Saccharomyces cerevisiae S288C: one gene and its partners. The protein of the gene in region 3 purifies or fractionates together with the protein of the main gene of each other region. This does not show direct contact. Each region holds a gene or a part of one and is shown on either strand. Other genes may lie near its edges.

Region 1 (6,774 bases), on a different chromosome or scaffold from region 3:
TTCAGACATTATTACTTGTTTTGATTGATTTTTTGCTTATACTCGAGTTTAGGTGAAAGGCCTTACTTTAAGCTTTCACGAGTTTATCCACCAAATTCTTTCAACGACGTCTCTCTTCCGGCAATTTTTTTTGCCCGAAAAAGACTAAGGCGGGTGAGGGGAATTGAACGGCACTATAATGTGGAGGTAAACAGAATGATCAAGCGCTATATACATAAGTAGCTATAGATTATTTATTTCAAGACGGCAACCAACTTTTCGCCAGAATTCCTCCCGTGCTTAATATCATCAAGTAACTGTGGGATATCATCTAACCCGTTCTTGTAAACTTTCACTGGGATGTGGTGGATTTCACCATCATTGATTTTTGGATTGATGAACTTAATAAATTTTATGGCGGCTTCCTTGTATTCAGGGTCTGCTGGCAAAGTAAACGTGCCAAATGGGACGTCGTTACCTCCTATCAAATATAGAAGGGTTCCTTCAATACTGACGTTTTGCCTCCTGTCTTCCTCCTTGATATCTTTTTCGGTTAAAACGGTCAATTGAACGACCGTAGCGTCTAAGTCATCAGCGGCACATTTGTACACCTGTTGAATAGTTTCTGTGTTGGAGACACAGTCCACCAAGTAAGGAATGTTGTTGTACTTCTTTTTTATCTGTTCGATAACGTCAGCATCGTGGTAGTCAAAAAGTTCATCTGCACCGTACTCTTTCAACAATTTTTCATGTTTACGAGAAGCAACGACGATGATCTTGCTGAAACCGTTTAGTTTTTTTGCCAATTGAATAAGCATCTGGCCAACAGCAGTGGCACCACCCCAAAATAAGATGGGTTGATCTCTTTGCGCTTTGGAGGGCTTCCATGTCATGTCCAAGCCAAAACTATGTGTAAGGATCATACCAGCCGTGGTCAATGAGACTGGGAGGGATACTGCCCCTTCTAAAGATTTTACGGGGCCTTCTGGTAGCTTGTCTTTACCGCACAATCTAAACTCTCTGGCTGGTTTATAAGCAGTCTCGGATGAAATGGCAGAGTACTCAGCAAAGGCACCGTTTGAGGGGAACCTCACTGAAGCACCGTGAATAACCCCATAAATGTAATCACCAATGGCAAAGCGTGCAGCATCAACATTTGGGCCCAACTTTACGATTTGGCCGGCTGCATCACAGCCTAAGAGGGCACCTTGAGGACCAATCTTGAAATCAATATGTTTCCAATCGGTAGGGTTACCGGCAACGGCGACAGTCTTAATTAGAACAAATCCTTCTTCTAATTCAGGAATTGGAATGTCCTGTTTGACTACAGCCTTGCCATTTTCAATGACAACGGCTTTCATGGTTTCTGGAATCGAGGCGGACATGCTTGATATGCAGTATGATATTGCTTTTTGCTGTGTATAGTTAACGATTTTTTTTCAACTAGAATTACAGTACTAATCAAGAAGTGAGAGGAAGAAAACGGCAAAAAAAAAACTCTCTCCTTTTAAATCGAAGCATTGCCGAAATACCTTAAAAACGGTCTTAAATCCTTAACATCTGTCCTTACTAATCGATGCCAATCCAACGGAGGGAGCCCATATGCTAGGTACTAAGAGTACGCAGGGGCGGAACCGCGCGACAACCGTAAGCGGATCCGAGGAACTTTAGTCAGCAGGGGCTGTGATGACCATTAAAAAATTGCGGACACAGGTAGTGGAACGAGCAATCAATGTGATCAATTTGCCATTTCATTCCACGAAATGGTTTCCATTCTAAGCATGAATGCTTTGACGTTACGGGTGTTGGTTATTTCGGTTCTTTTTATTGCTTCCGTGGGCACGTACGAGAAGGGAAGATGAATAGAAAAAGAGTTTCCGAGTTTTGTATGTCCAATGTTTACATAATTTATATAACTTGAAGTTTAATCTTGGCATAAAGCTCTAGTTGTGACGAAGTGTGTAGGCCATCACATCAGTTCTCCAGTTTTCTACCCAATTTTTTTATGGATACCTTGATTTTTGGTTTAGGGCTGGATGTCTTTACGCCCTTTATTTGTGTTTTACTGCCCAAACTAGTGCCGGTCTCTAAATATTTTTCTGTATTAGTAGTAGAATCGTTCTCCATTAGTAATGCTTTTTTTTTCTTTTCAAAATTGATTGCCTTGACGTCTAAGTAGTTATTCAGTTCTTTTTCCTTTTTTAGCAACTCATTCTTGCTCTTCTGGTAAAATTCCAGGTCCTCTTTACTCAACCTAGTAAAACTTTCACGGTCTCTCACCAAACCGTTATATTGTTTTTGTTTACTAATAGCATTAGACCTAAGCTGATCTCGCAGGGACTTCCTGGTTTTCCTTTTATATTCCGCTTCATATTTTTTTTGCTCCACTTGCTCTCGTATCCTCTGGGCCTCTACATTACCAACTCCTTCTGACACGAATTTCAGTGGTTTTTTCTCTCTTGCACTATTAGCATTATTATCACTGGTAGATGACATGATGATATAACAGAGCCCACAGTCTTTTGTTGGAACCGCTTTCTCTAGGCTTCGATGGACTTACATCTAATTGCACATTCTCGTGCGTTTAAACGTCATTTTTCCCTCAGATTGGCAGTGCATCAAAAGTAATTCCTAGGGACGACAAAAAGGCGGAAAAGGTTTCAGAAAAATAAGCGGACTTAGCTCAGTTGGGAGAGCGCCAGACTGAAGAAAAACTTCGGTCAAGTCATCTGGAGGTCCTGTGTTCGATCCACAGAGTTCGCAATTTGAAAAATTTTTTTTAATGATTACGCATGTGGATGTGTTCAGTATCAACCGATGCTCGCTTTTCCAATCAAATGATACAAGCCAGACCGAACATTGCATGTTTTCCATTGTAACTTCCCAGGTATATCTGAATTAGTTGTAAAAAGTAATAGTTTACCCGGAATCGTGTGAAAAATTTTGAAAAAAAAAAATGAAGAGCCAAGATACAATGAGATGAGATGAGGTGCTGAAGATGCATGGAGATTCTGTATTTATCTCAAATAAAGTACGCAATAGAGTATATAAGCCAAGTCACCTTTTATATTTCTTAGTTTTTAACTTGCAAAGACTTATAAGAGACTTATAAAACAAGGAGAAAATGGCCAAAAAAGCTATCGATTCAAGAATCCCGTCACTGATCAGGAATGGTGTTCAAACCAAACAAAGGTCCATATTTGTCATCGTTGGGGACAGGGCACGTAACCAGCTCCCAAATTTACATTATTTGATGATGAGTGCTGACCTTAAGATGAACAAGTCCGTCTTATGGGCTTATAAGAAGAAGCTTCTAGGATTCACTTCGCACAGAAAAAAAAGAGAGAATAAAATTAAGAAAGAAATTAAAAGAGGTACAAGGGAAGTGAATGAAATGGACCCTTTTGAATCTTTTATCTCTAACCAAAATATCAGATATGTATACTACAAAGAGAGTGAGAAAATATTGGGTAATACCTATGGTATGTGTATTCTTCAGGACTTCGAGGCATTAACCCCAAATCTTTTAGCAAGAACCATTGAAACTGTAGAAGGTGGTGGTATTGTGGTTATTTTATTGAAATCAATGTCATCGTTAAAGCAACTGTACACCATGACTATGGATGTTCACGCCCGTTATCGTACTGAGGCTCATGGTGACGTTGTTGCAAGATTTAACGAAAGATTCATACTTTCTTTAGGTTCAAATCCAAACTGTTTAGTCGTTGATGATGAATTAAATGTTCTACCGCTATCTGGTGCCAAAAACGTGAAACCACTACCTCCTAAGGAAGATGACGAATTGCCTCCAAAGCAATTAGAGTTGCAAGAATTAAAAGAATCCTTAGAAGATGTCCAACCAGCTGGTTCATTGGTTTCTCTATCCAAAACTGTCAATCAAGCCCACGCTATTCTTTCTTTCATTGATGCCATTTCGGAAAAAACTTTGAATTTCACAGTTGCACTAACAGCTGGAAGAGGTAGAGGTAAGTCTGCTGCTTTAGGTATTTCTATTGCCGCGGCCGTTTCTCACGGGTATTCTAATATTTTTGTTACTTCTCCATCTCCCGAAAATTTAAAGACTCTATTTGAGTTTATTTTCAAAGGATTCGATGCCTTAGGTTACCAAGAACACATTGATTATGATATCATTCAATCTACGAACCCCGACTTCAACAAAGCCATTGTGAGAGTTGATATTAAAAGAGATCACAGACAAACGATTCAATATATTGTTCCTCAAGACCATCAAGTTCTGGGCCAAGCTGAATTAGTTGTCATTGATGAAGCTGCAGCTATTCCTTTGCCAATCGTCAAGAACTTGCTGGGCCCATATCTAGTCTTCATGGCATCCACTATCAATGGTTACGAAGGTACGGGTAGATCTTTATCTCTGAAGTTAATTCAGCAATTGCGTAATCAAAACAACACATCCGGTCGGGAAAGTACTCAAACCGCCGTTGTTTCGAGAGATAATAAGGAAAAAGACTCTCACTTACATTCTCAATCCCGTCAATTACGTGAAATTTCCTTGGACGAACCAATCAGATATGCTCCTGGTGACCCAATTGAAAAATGGTTAAACAAGCTCTTATGTTTAGATGTTACTTTAATTAAAAACCCAAGATTTGCAACAAGAGGAACTCCTCACCCATCCCAATGTAATCTATTTGTTGTCAATAGAGATACTCTATTTTCTTATCATCCTGTCTCAGAAAATTTCCTGGAAAAAATGATGGCACTGTACGTTTCATCCCATTACAAGAATTCTCCAAACGACTTACAACTGATGAGTGACGCCCCAGCGCACAAACTATTTGTTCTTTTACCACCAATTGATCCAAAGGATGGCGGCAGGATCCCTGACCCTCTATGTGTCATTCAAATTGCATTGGAAGGTGAAATCAGTAAGGAGAGTGTCAGAAATTCATTATCGAGAGGCCAAAGAGCTGGTGGTGATTTAATCCCATGGCTGATCTCTCAACAATTCCAAGACGAGGAATTCGCTAGTTTGAGTGGTGCTCGTATCGTCAGAATTGCCACTAATCCTGAATACGCATCCATGGGCTATGGTTCTCGTGCAATTGAATTACTGAGAGACTATTTCGAGGGTAAATTCACTGACATGTCTGAAGATGTTCGTCCTAAGGATTATTCTATAAAGAGGGTGAGCGATAAGGAACTGGCCAAAACTAATTTATTAAAGGATGACGTTAAATTAAGAGACGCAAAAACGTTGCCACCTCTACTATTAAAACTTTCTGAACAGCCTCCTCATTATCTACATTATTTGGGTGTTTCATATGGTTTAACGCAATCGTTGCATAAATTCTGGAAGAATAACAGCTTTGTTCCTGTTTATTTACGTCAAACCGCAAACGATTTAACTGGTGAACATACTTGTGTTATGTTGAACGTTTTGGAAGGCAGAGAATCAAACTGGCTCGTTGAATTTGCCAAAGATTTCCGTAAAAGATTTCTGTCGCTTCTTTCTTATGATTTTCATAAGTTTACTGCCGTTCAAGCCTTAAGTGTCATTGAAAGTAGTAAGAAAGCACAAGATTTGTCTGATGACGAAAAGCATGATAATAAAGAATTGACGCGGACGCATCTGGATGACATTTTTTCTCCATTTGACTTGAAAAGATTGGATAGCTACTCAAATAATTTGCTAGATTATCACGTTATCGGTGATATGATACCCATGCTTGCTCTTTTGTACTTCGGCGATAAAATGGGAGATTCAGTAAAACTATCAAGCGTCCAGAGTGCTATCCTGTTGGCTATAGGGTTACAGCGTAAAAACATCGACACTATTGCCAAGGAATTGAATTTACCTTCCAATCAAACTATTGCTATGTTTGCGAAGATCATGAGAAAAATGTCTCAGTACTTCCGTCAGCTGTTAAGCCAATCAATTGAAGAAACTCTACCAAATATCAAAGATGATGCTATTGCTGAAATGGATGGTGAAGAAATCAAAAATTACAACGCTGCAGAAGCACTGGACCAAATGGAAGAAGATTTAGAAGAAGCCGGTTCTGAAGCCGTTCAGGCGATGAGGGAAAAACAAAAAGAGCTAATCAACTCCTTGAACTTAGATAAATACGCCATAAATGATAACAGTGAGGAATGGGCTGAATCTCAAAAATCTTTAGAAATAGCTGCCAAGGCCAAAGGCGTCGTCAGTTTAAAAACTGGTAAAAAGAGAACGACTGAAAAGGCTGAAGATATCTATAGACAAGAGATGAAAGCTATGAAAAAACCAAGAAAGTCTAAAAAGGCTGCAAATTAAGCGTTCTACTCTTTGTCAAACCCTTTTATAGCTAAACGTTTACTTAATTTGTACAATAATATAGAATAGAAACATAGTTGATGTTTGAACCTTTACATATTCCTTTCAATCGTGTCGAGCGATATAAGTATTACGATTATGCCGGCGAAAACTGAACCCGTTTTAGACAATTTCAATCAACATACTCCACTCCGTAGTGAGTAACTTTTGGAGTAATACGAAGTAACCAAAGAGGTCAAAACGGAACTATATACCCCAAAATAAGCATCATTCAAATGGTCGAATTAACTGAAATTAAAGACGATGTCGTTCAATTAGACGAACCACAATTTTCCAGAAATCAGGCCATCGTGGAAGAAAAGGCTTCTGCAACAAACAACGACGTTGTCGATGATGAAGATGACTCTGATAGTGATTTTGAAGATGAATTTGATGAAAATGAAACATTGTTGGACAGAATCGTTGCTTTAAAAGACATTGTCCCCCCAGGTAAGAGACAA
Region 2 (6,186 bases), on a different chromosome or scaffold from region 3:
ATGAAAAATTCTCTTGATTCAAATAGATCCAAAAGCACCTCAAACAAATTTGTCTTAATATAACTTGATTTGATGTTACCGGGAATCATGTCATTAGGCTCTGGTACCCAAGCTATATAATAATTGAGTATATGTTCGTATAGCATGGCGTGTCTTATTGGTAGGTCCTTGTTCAATTCCCTCTTTCCTTTCACCTTGAGGTTCCATAGAAAGGGGCTTTTTTTATTCTTGTCCCTTTTGGTGATGTTCGTATCTTGATTGATATCAGAATCGTGCAAAGTGTCTACAAGTGAGAGCAGTGCCTTCATATCTACATTGAAATTAATTTTCTCCTTTAGTTCTTCTTCAGGTAAGTCCAACATTGCGTATAACAATACATTTACTAAGTGCTTCCGCTCCTGAAAGTAAGGTTTAACAAACGTGGTTATTGAATGTAGGCATCTCCCTGTTGGATCCAGGACCAAAAATGCTTTGATAGTTTTAACATATCTCAACAAAGCGTCCACCGTAGTTACGCTGGGGTTTAGAATGTATTTCTTGAAATCAGACAAAAAAGTTGTTACAATATTTGTGTAGTCTTTAAAATCTTTCATAATTTTCCTCAATTCCAATAAAGTAACCTTTGAATCAGGATAAGCCAAAACGCATATATCAAAGATTTCATTCGTTCTTATCCTAAGAAAATTGGACTCAAAACAGTTGAAAACTGTAGTGGTCAGTTCGTGATCATCCTCTGGACAACCGACTAATTTAGAGAACTGAGACCAATATTGATTAATAAATTTGTTGAATGTTTCCATAATCATAAACCTTTTATTCCATACTCTACTCATGTTATCTTCACAAAATTTATTGATTTTGCTGTAAAGAGCATTGACTATCAATTCCGTAGAGGATAAGGAACCATTAGCAGATTTGAGCCATTGGATTAAATTGTCTGCCAGGTCGAAATCATCATCCATTATTAATTTGTCTAATCTTGTTCTTAAATTATTTTTGAACTTTATATTTCTATTCAACAGATAATGTCTTAAAGAATTAAGTTCAAGTGCCCAGTCGTTTACATTTACGTCAAAAATAGGAACGTAACGTAAAGGAAACTCGTAATAATTTTCCCATCGTTGGATATCTTTTAGATAATTAATGTTGTTAAAATGTAAGAAAAAATGATAACGAACCTGGAAAATATAAAACTCTTTGAGCGTGGAAAAAAGTTGTAGTTGTAACTCTTTGTTTGTATTTCCCTCATTAACTATTGAATTGTTTGCCTGACTAGTGTTTATCATGCTATATGGCGATGTGGTTGCGTTATTAGGGAAGAGAACCTTAATGATATTCTTAATACGAAGGCTTGGAGGACGTAGTTGATGGTTACTCTTGGCATCATTAGGGCTCATCCATGTAAGTAAAGAGTTCAAATCATCGACTATGTTTGTGTGAAAGATGTATGAGGAAAGTGTTTGTAACTCATCTGTAATAACTTTCAAATCTCGAGTTGGGGTAATCTGAAATGACATGATGGAAAAACCTTAACTATAAGCCATAAATATTTACAGTCCCGCTAAGTCTGGCTTTCGTCTAGTTTTCGATATTTTGGCTCTTTTGTCTATTACTGTTTTTGTAACCAAAGGTTTGAAAATTTAGATGCAACTAATGAACTTACGCAGTAACATGCAAGTACCCAATAAAAAAAGAAATTTTTGAAGAGACGTTCTTGCATTCAGGACATGGTATGTTTTTAATTTCGTTTCTTTAGTTCTCAGGCTCTTCAAAGTACTAACACTTTATTGGCAAGGGGCGCTCAAATGTGATGCATCATTATAGAGTAATAATAAAATAAAAAGAAAGGATGCAAGCCCGGAACAAGAGGCAATTGAATCATTCACCTCATTAACCAAATGTGACCCCAAGGTATCCAGGAAGTACCTGCAGCGTAATCACTGGAACATCAATTACGCTCTCAATGATTATTATGACAAGGAAATAGGGACGTTTACTGACGAGGTTTCAACTGTGGCTCATCCACCCGTATACCCGAAGGAGCTAACACAGGTATTTGAACACTATATCAATAACAACTTGTTTGATATAGACTCACTGGTCAAGTTCATTGAGGAGCTAGGCTACAATCTTGAAGATTTAGCGACATTATGCTTAGCCCATTTACTGGGGTACAAGAAACTAGAAGAACCCTTAAAACGAGAGGACTTCCTGTCAACATGGTTTATGCAAGGCTGTTCCACCATTTCAGACATGCAAGAGTGCATCAAGACGTTAGATGTTAAATTACATGAAGACTTACAATATTTCACACAGATTTATAACTATGCTTTCAATTTGATTCTGGACCCAAATCGAAAGGATATAGATACAGACGAAGGCATCCAGTATTGGAAGCTATTTTTCCAACCAGAGTACCCAGTGCGTATGGAACCAGATTTGCTTGAGGCATGGTTCCGTTTCCTTCGCGATGAGGGGAAAACCACTATAAGTAAAGACACCTGGCGTATGCTGCTCCTCTTTTTCAAACGATACCCCACTATTCAGAAAATAATAAGCGATTACGACGAAACTGCAGCCTGGCCATTTATTATCGATGAGTTCTATGAGTGCTTACAGGATCAGCAATAAACATCCTTTCATATACTTAAGGGTATGCTGTTTAATATTGCATGGAATACGTTACCCTTCTAAGATAGATGGGAATAAGGCGGAAATAAAAAACGCGATGAGCAGTGGAAAATTTTTCAGAAATTTTCAGTTCCCTCATAATATAGATGTAGATATTGTATAAGGTCGTACGTATATCAGAGTAGCCACTAGAAGGACCAGAGAAACTGGAATAAGAGCTATTATGGTCAAATCATACCAACGTTTTGAGCAAGCAGCTGCTTTTGGTGTAATAGCCTCCAATGCCAATTGTGTTTGGATACCTGCGTCATCCGGAAATAGTAATGGTAGTGGACCAGGACAATTGATTACGAGTGCTCTCGAGGACGTTAATATATGGGATATTAAGACCGGGGATTTGGTCAGTAAATTATCCGATGGCTTACCTCCAGGCGCATCTGATGCTAGAGGCGCCAAGCCAGCCGAGTGTACATATTTGGAGGCTCATAAAGATACGGATTTATTAGCTGTCGGTTACGCAGATGGTGTCATTAAAGTTTGGGATTTGATGTCTAAGACTGTGCTTTTGAATTTTAACGGTCACAAAGCAGCTATAACATTATTACAATTTGATGGGACTGGCACAAGATTAATTTCTGGTTCCAAGGACTCCAATATCATTGTATGGGATCTTGTTGGAGAAGTTGGTCTTTATAAACTTAGATCACACAAGGATTCCATTACTGGCTTTTGGTGTCAAGGAGAAGATTGGCTGATCAGCACCTCCAAAGATGGAATGATCAAGCTATGGGACCTAAAAACACATCAATGTATAGAGACACATATTGCGCATACTGGAGAGTGTTGGGGCCTTGCAGTGAAGGATGATTTACTGATCACAACTGGTACTGATAGTCAAGTAAAAATTTGGAAACTGGATATAGAAAATGACAAAATGGGGGGGAAACTAACAGAGATGGGTATTTTCGAAAAGCAAAGTAAGCAACGTGGGTTAAAGATTGAGTTCATAACAAATTCGTCTGACAAAACCTCTTTTTTTTACATCCAAAATGCTGATAAAACCATCGAGACTTTCAGAATTAGAAAAGAAGAAGAAATAGCAAGAGGTTTAAAGAAAAGAGAGAAGAGGCTAAAAGAAAAGGGGTTGACAGAAGAAGAAATTGCAAAATCTATTAAAGAATCCTACTCCTCCTTTATATTGCATCCTTTTCAAACCATAAGATCATTGTATAAAATAAAATCTGCATCATGGACAACGGTCTCAAGTTCCAAACTTGAGTTGGTATTAACTACATCGAGTAATACCATAGAGTATTATTCCATTCCATATGAAAAAAGAGACCCAACAAGCCCTGCTCCTCTCAAGACACATACTATTGAATTGCAAGGGCAAAGAACGGATGTGCGTAGTATTGACATCAGTGATGATAACAAATTACTTGCCACAGCATCCAATGGTTCATTGAAAATATGGAATATCAAAACACATAAATGTATCAGAACTTTCGAATGTGGGTATGCATTAACTTGTAAGTTTTTGCCAGGTGGGCTACTAGTCATACTGGGTACAAGAAACGGGGAGTTACAGCTCTTTGATCTAGCATCATCAAGTCTTTTGGATACCATTGAAGATGCACATGATGCGGCAATTTGGTCGCTAGATCTGACCTCAGATGGTAAACGATTAGTGACCGGATCTGCCGATAAAACTGTCAAGTTTTGGGATTTCAAAGTTGAAAATAGCCTAGTGCCAGGTACCAAGAACAAATTCCTGCCTGTTTTAAAACTGCACCATGATACAACTTTGGAATTAACTGACGACATTTTATGTGTACGGGTTTCTCCTGACGATAGATATCTAGCCATCTCGTTGCTGGATAATACTGTTAAGGTATTCTTTTTGGACTCAATGAAGTTTTACCTAAGTTTATATGGGCACAAATTACCTGTACTATCTATCGATATTTCATTTGATTCTAAGATGATTATTACGTCTTCCGCAGACAAAAATATCAAGATTTGGGGTTTAGATTTTGGTGACTGTCACAAGTCTTTATTTGCCCATCAGGATTCGATTATGAACGTTAAATTCTTACCACAGTCTCACAACTTCTTTAGTTGTTCTAAAGACGCAGTGGTGAAATATTGGGATGGCGAGAAATTTGAATGCATTCAAAAACTATACGCTCATCAGAGCGAAGTTTGGGCTTTGGCGGTTGCTACTGATGGCGGCTTTGTTGTTTCTTCATCCCATGATCACAGTATAAGAATCTGGGAAGAAACCGAGGACCAGGTATTTTTAGAAGAGGAAAAGGAGAAAGAACTTGAAGAACAGTACGAGGATACATTGCTAACTTCTTTGGAAGAAGGAAACGGTGATGATGCATTTAAAGCTGATGCATCGGGTGAAGGCGTTGAAGATGAAGCATCCGGTGTTCATAAACAGACTTTAGAATCGTTAAAGGCTGGTGAAAGACTTATGGAGGCGCTAGATTTAGGAATTGCTGAGATTGAAGGTTTAGAGGCATATAACAGAGATATGAAGCTATGGCAAAGAAAGAAGTTGGGTGAAGCGCCAATAAAACCACAGGGTAACGCTGTTCTAATTGCTGTGAATAAAACTCCTGAGCAATATATTATGGATACCCTGTTAAGAATAAGAATGTCTCAGTTAGAAGATGCACTGATGGTTATGCCATTCTCATATGTCCTCAAATTTTTAAAATTTATTGATACCGTTATGCAAAACAAAACTTTGCTGCACTCTCACTTACCATTAATTTGCAAGAATTTATTTTTCATTATCAAATTTAATCATAAAGAATTGGTTTCTCAGAAAAATGAAGAATTGAAATTGCAAATAAATAGAGTAAAGACTGAATTAAGAAGTGCATTAAAATCTACCGAGGATGATCTAGGCTTTAATGTTCAAGGGTTGAAATTCGTCAAGCAACAATGGAATCTAAGGCATAACTACGAATTCGTTGACGAATATGACCAACAGGAGAAAGAGAGTAATAGTGCAAGGAAGAGAGTTTTCGGGACCGTTATATAATAAAACTATTATCCTACATAATACCGGCATTACTCTGCCCTTTTCACACTTCAAAAGGATAGATTAAATTATCTGTATATTATACAATTCCAATCATAAAAATTGTCATTCCGATTGCCCTTCGGTAATAATGGGCATATCCAAATAACGGAATATGTGTTTTTTATACTTATTGGTCGCTGACATATGCTGTTTTTTGCGAGATGTCTCTCGTCTCTGCAGAGCAGTTGTAAAATTATAGGTCATGCATTTTTTTTTTTTTGATAATGAATAACTATCTAATCTAACAAAATATACGTGAGATACTATGCCCATTTCCCTAGAAGAGCCATTAAAGCAGCTCCACAACACATGATGAGATATGCACTAAGCATTTTTTTGAGGCCATCAGGTCCTTTGAATTGATTAGAGTATAAGAATTCATGAGCCATTAATTCGACTAGTCCAGTATAAATAAGAATTCCTGATGATATCGAGTCAAAAACACCATTAGCAATTAA
Region 3 (4,136 bases):
TGACCTCCATGAGTCGATAAGACCAGTGGATTATAGGCGCAAGTCACAACAGAGGTGTGACATCCTTTCCAAAGATCAAAGTCATTGCCTGATCTGATAAGTTTTAGGATTTTTGTAACAAGGAAGCTCAATTCGGATTTTAGCAGCTGTTCATTGATATAAACTGGTGATCTTAAAGTCGCCAAAATGGTATGAAACTCATTACCCTTGGCAATTTCCAGGTTTCTAGCCAAAGTAGAAACTGCGATAAATTCCTCTGACATGCTCAAATTTTGTCTATACTTAGTTTGATAACTGGAAAACCACAAAAATTGAATAGTAGTATTGCATCTATTTTTTACTACATTTTATTATAGTTTAATATTGAAAAATTTTCTTGCGATGACCCGTCTCAAATGATGAAGACAACGTAATCTTTTGAAAATTAATAGCTGCATCAATCAGTGCTTCTCATGTGAAACTTTTCTTTGTATATACTTAAATATATTTAAAATGCTTGATCAATCTTTGTATTCCGATGCGTCGACAAATTCGTCACTTTCTCCATTTGCATAAACAATTGAATCTGGTTCAAGCTTTTCAACAGGCGATGCTTGATCCTGCAAAGGATTACTAATTACATTTGAATGCTCTATAACTTCTATTTCATCATCTTCACCCTCTTGCATAGATAGTTGTGCAAGATCCTCTCTCAATTTTGCTTGCCTCCTCAACATTTCTAATCTACCTTGTATACCGAGTAGAACAGGCAAGATCTCCTCTGAAGATCTTAATGCAGATTTTAAATGCTTGCAATTTTTCTTTGTATGTTTATCCTTTATAGAATTTAACTCCCCACTTTTCAAAGTCAGCAACCACTTAAGCCACAACGGAAGTAAATTTTCTTCATTCCATGGATTTTGTGTTATTGACTTTGATATAGTCAAAAATATCTTACTTAGATGATCTACTGTATTGATCTTGGTTAAGATGAATTTTTTAATCTCTGGTTCTGTCCAACTTCCAGACATCAGATCATCCAATATTTCTGTTGAATTAGCTTCTAAATGCGATGAGAGAATATTAGCAATTTCAACTTGATCTGATTTACTAACTTTCTTGTTTATCTTAGTTTCAGTCTCCTTCTTCTCATGTTGAACTTCAGGCTGAGCTTCTTCTTCTTTCTCTTCTAATTTCTTTTGGTCCGCTTCATCAGCATTATTTTTTTCATTTTTGTTTATTGTAATATACCCCTGAGTTTCAATTTCTTTTAAAGAAATAGATTCAAAGTTGGGTTCATTGACATTTAGCCATGAAATTAGAACCTGTTGCTTGCTGTTTATTGGCGTGAAATCTATAATTTCCAAATCTTCATTTACAACTATAGAACAAACTTTGTCGGCTTCGCCAATCTTATAATTATTAATTTTACCATCAGTAGTCAAAGCCATTATCAAATCATCTAAAGTTTTCAATGTCTTCACTTGGACAGGCCATGATTGGATCAGCTTTGAATCTTCCTTCAAGTCGTAAGCTATTAATTCTTCGTTGTTGGCAATTAACAGATACTTACCGTCTGAAGAAAATTCACATGCTACAGCGTCTGATATTTCAAAACTATACTTAGTAGAGGGTCTTCTCTTTGATGGATCAACAATATAAACCATCTGTTTAGTAATAATGCATACCAATAAAGTGCCATTTTGGTGCAAAATTTGGAAATGAACTATTTCGTCATCTTTACCATCAACTAGCGTAAAAGTCTTTAGAGGTTTCGAATTGTTATACTGTAATTTCTTAACGACTTTATCACTATCCAAAATCCATATATCAGACTCGTCTGTGTCTGCTCCCAAAATCTCTTTTTTATTCTTGATGATATTAACTATATCCTTACCATTAGAAGAGTAAACAACAATTCTTCCGTCAGGAAATCCGTTAACGAAAAAGTTTTCACATCTTTGCTCACTTGATTCACCAGTTCCTTCATCTTCATCTAATTTTCTTTTGATATTGGATGACTGCGTATCTATCAAATCACTACACCACCCAAAGAAGATTACATCTGAAACCTTCATATCGTTTGTCTCATAGTCAATATGACTCACTAATGAACTATTGACCACATAATCCTTAGTTTCATTTAATGGATAAATATCCACATTGTTCTTTTGTGCGACGCTTGCTTGGAATGCAAAACGAGTGGAATCATGCGAGAAGCTCGCCACCAAATCCAAAGAGGAGCCCATTGTGCACTACGGTATGTATATACGTGGAGAATGCCCGGCGTTATATATTGCAACGGAGTACTAATATGTATTTCAACTACATAAAGTTACTTGAAAACTCCATCTCATCGTTAAATTTTTCAAAATTTTTCATGTTTTCTTCTCACCTTTAGAAGAAAAAAATTTTCGCACCTCGTTGTAAGTGACGATGATAACCGAGATGACGGAAATATAGTACATTAGTATCTAAATGGTTGAGAGTATGCTTGTTCAGTGTTCACTTGTGCATCTAGATTACTAGATTTTGTGGGAGATACTTGTATATGCAACAATGATGAAGGCTGGTTTAACGACTTAAGGTCTATCGAGCCCTTGAATGATATGGGGAATGATGTACTTGATTTAAGGGAAGAGGTTGTTCTGGTATCCCGTGAGAGAGAGTCAGGCTCTGCAGTACTTTCCTTTCGGCATTTACTCTGCGACTCAACTTCTGAACTGGAGCTGCAATCCTTTTCCCGGTTATTATCATCCTCACCGTCTGCTTCTCCATTCGGTTCATTTTTGTCTTCTTCCAATTGCTTTTCCAGGTGACAACCTAACAAATCTTCACTCCCTACTTGGTTTAGTGCATTTTCGCTCTTGCTTGTCAAATGGCTGTTACTGTGTTCCTCTTTGGAGGTAAACTCATGTTCCCCTTCCAAAACGTTCATGTCCTTATAGCTTAATATAATAGGTTCGGATCTATTTTTACCAAATTGCAATACTGCTCTTTCACCATCGTTGTAATGCTTCAGCCTCCTTTCGTTTTCAATAAGATCTACATTACAATCGTTATCCTTATCTTCTAGCGTGGTCTCGCGATCACCGTCCAGTACAGTCCACGCGATAGGTAGTAGAAAGGATAGGAGTAGTATAAGAACGTATATTCGTGTGTCCAATTCGCTGGATTGTCTGGAAATGAAATTAAATACTTTACGCCAGCTCAGTTCACCAGCGTCGGGTTGTTCCGCAGTTAAAGCCTCACGCTTATTATCTACCAAGTTTTTCAACCTATCTATAGTGAAAATTAACTCATAGTCCACTTTCTGGGGCTCTATCCATCCCTGTCTTTCCAAATGCTTACGAACTGTTTTTTCAACACCTTTCAAAACGGCTACAGAAAGACCTAACGAAAAGATTCCACGAACCAATGGGGGACGAGTCATGCTTATTATATTTTACAATTATATTTGTAGCTTTTTTGATATTATGCACACACGCAAACGCAACAGTTGTTGGTTCCAATTTTTGTTTGGTTTAATTCCTTCTCTTCCCACACACTCTCTCACTCACAAAAATCTGGACAGAAGAAGCCTCACCTTTTTGTTTTGCAGCTCCTCTTCCCCTTCTCTCCTTCATAAGGGGGTGGGTCCTGATATTTTTCGTCTATTTTTTTTCAAATAGGATTTTCCGCAGTGTAGAAAGAAGAAAGATGCGTCACAAATTAGATAAACTGATAGAAAGAACGATGCTATGTAAATGCATATGTACAGAAAGTGACAGGAGTAGGTATTCCTCACGCGATAGCACCGAGACTCATCAAAATCACCTGGAGTATAAGTTGCAGTGACCAAAAGCCCACCCTTCTCAAGCGTAATGTCCTCTTTTCATCGTCAGCGACGTAGTCGGCGAAGGCATCGTACGCTTCCGCACTTAGATCCCGCATAAGGTATGAATCATATATGGTCCAGGAGCCCTCAAAATCAGACTTTTTCTTTACAATGCGGCATTTGATTGGGATGTATGTCCTGTGAGAATTGATGTACCCGACAATAGGCCTTATCAATGCACTATTGATATACGTTAAGCCAGAAGTGAACAGAGGGACTTCGGCTTTGACATTGTATAGTCTTAAAGAAAAGTCCATAATAAAGTAGTCGTTCGGGTCAA

What was found. Proteins that work in one complex are often made in the same cells at the same time.
Region 1: the proteins of UTP9 (region 3) and KRE33 purify together in Saccharomyces cerevisiae (affinity purification with mass spectrometry; 4 studies listed by BioGRID). This does not show direct contact.
Region 2: the proteins of UTP9 (region 3) and DIP2 purify together in Saccharomyces cerevisiae (affinity purification with mass spectrometry, with the first as the bait; 3 studies listed by BioGRID). This does not show direct contact.

The regions. Positions count from the first base shown.
Region 1 is NC_001146.8:372,218-378,991, forward strand, and holds KRE33 (ribosome biosynthesis protein KRE33), read left to right. Parts: upstream 1-3,103; coding exon 3,104-6,274; downstream 6,275-6,774. Other genes in the region: peptidylprolyl isomerase FPR1, read right to left, coding at 1-9; YNL134C (uncharacterized protein), read right to left, coding at 234-1,364; FYV6 (Fyv6p), read right to left, coding at 1,954-2,475; TOM22 (Tom22p), read left to right, coding at 6,550-6,774. UniProt on the Saccharomyces cerevisiae protein: RNA cytidine acetyltransferase with specificity toward both 18S rRNA and tRNAs. Catalyzes the formation of N(4)-acetylcytidine (ac4C) at positions 1280 and 1773 in 18S rRNA.
Region 2 is NC_001144.5:396,803-402,988, forward strand, and holds DIP2 (snoRNA-binding rRNA-processing protein DIP2), read left to right. Parts: upstream 1-2,854; coding exon 2,855-5,686; downstream 5,687-6,186. Other genes in the region: APC2 (anaphase promoting complex subunit 2), read right to left, coding at 1-1,517; NEDD8 ligase DCN1, read left to right, coding at 1,728-1,730, 1,825-2,631; low-affinity Zn(2+) transporter ZRT2, read right to left, coding at 5,992-6,186. UniProt on the Saccharomyces cerevisiae protein: Involved in nucleolar processing of pre-18S ribosomal RNA.
Region 3 is NC_001140.6:490,023-494,158, reverse strand, and holds UTP9 (Utp9p), read right to left. Parts: upstream 2,229-4,136; coding exon 501-2,228; downstream 1-500. Other genes in the region: RIX1 (Rix1p), read right to left, coding at 1-263; NVJ1 (Nvj1p), read right to left, coding at 2,447-3,412; MDM31 (Mdm31p), read right to left, coding at 3,763-4,136. UniProt on the Saccharomyces cerevisiae protein: Involved in nucleolar processing of pre-18S ribosomal RNA. Required for optimal pre-ribosomal RNA transcription by RNA polymerase I together with a subset of U3 proteins required for transcription (t-UTPs).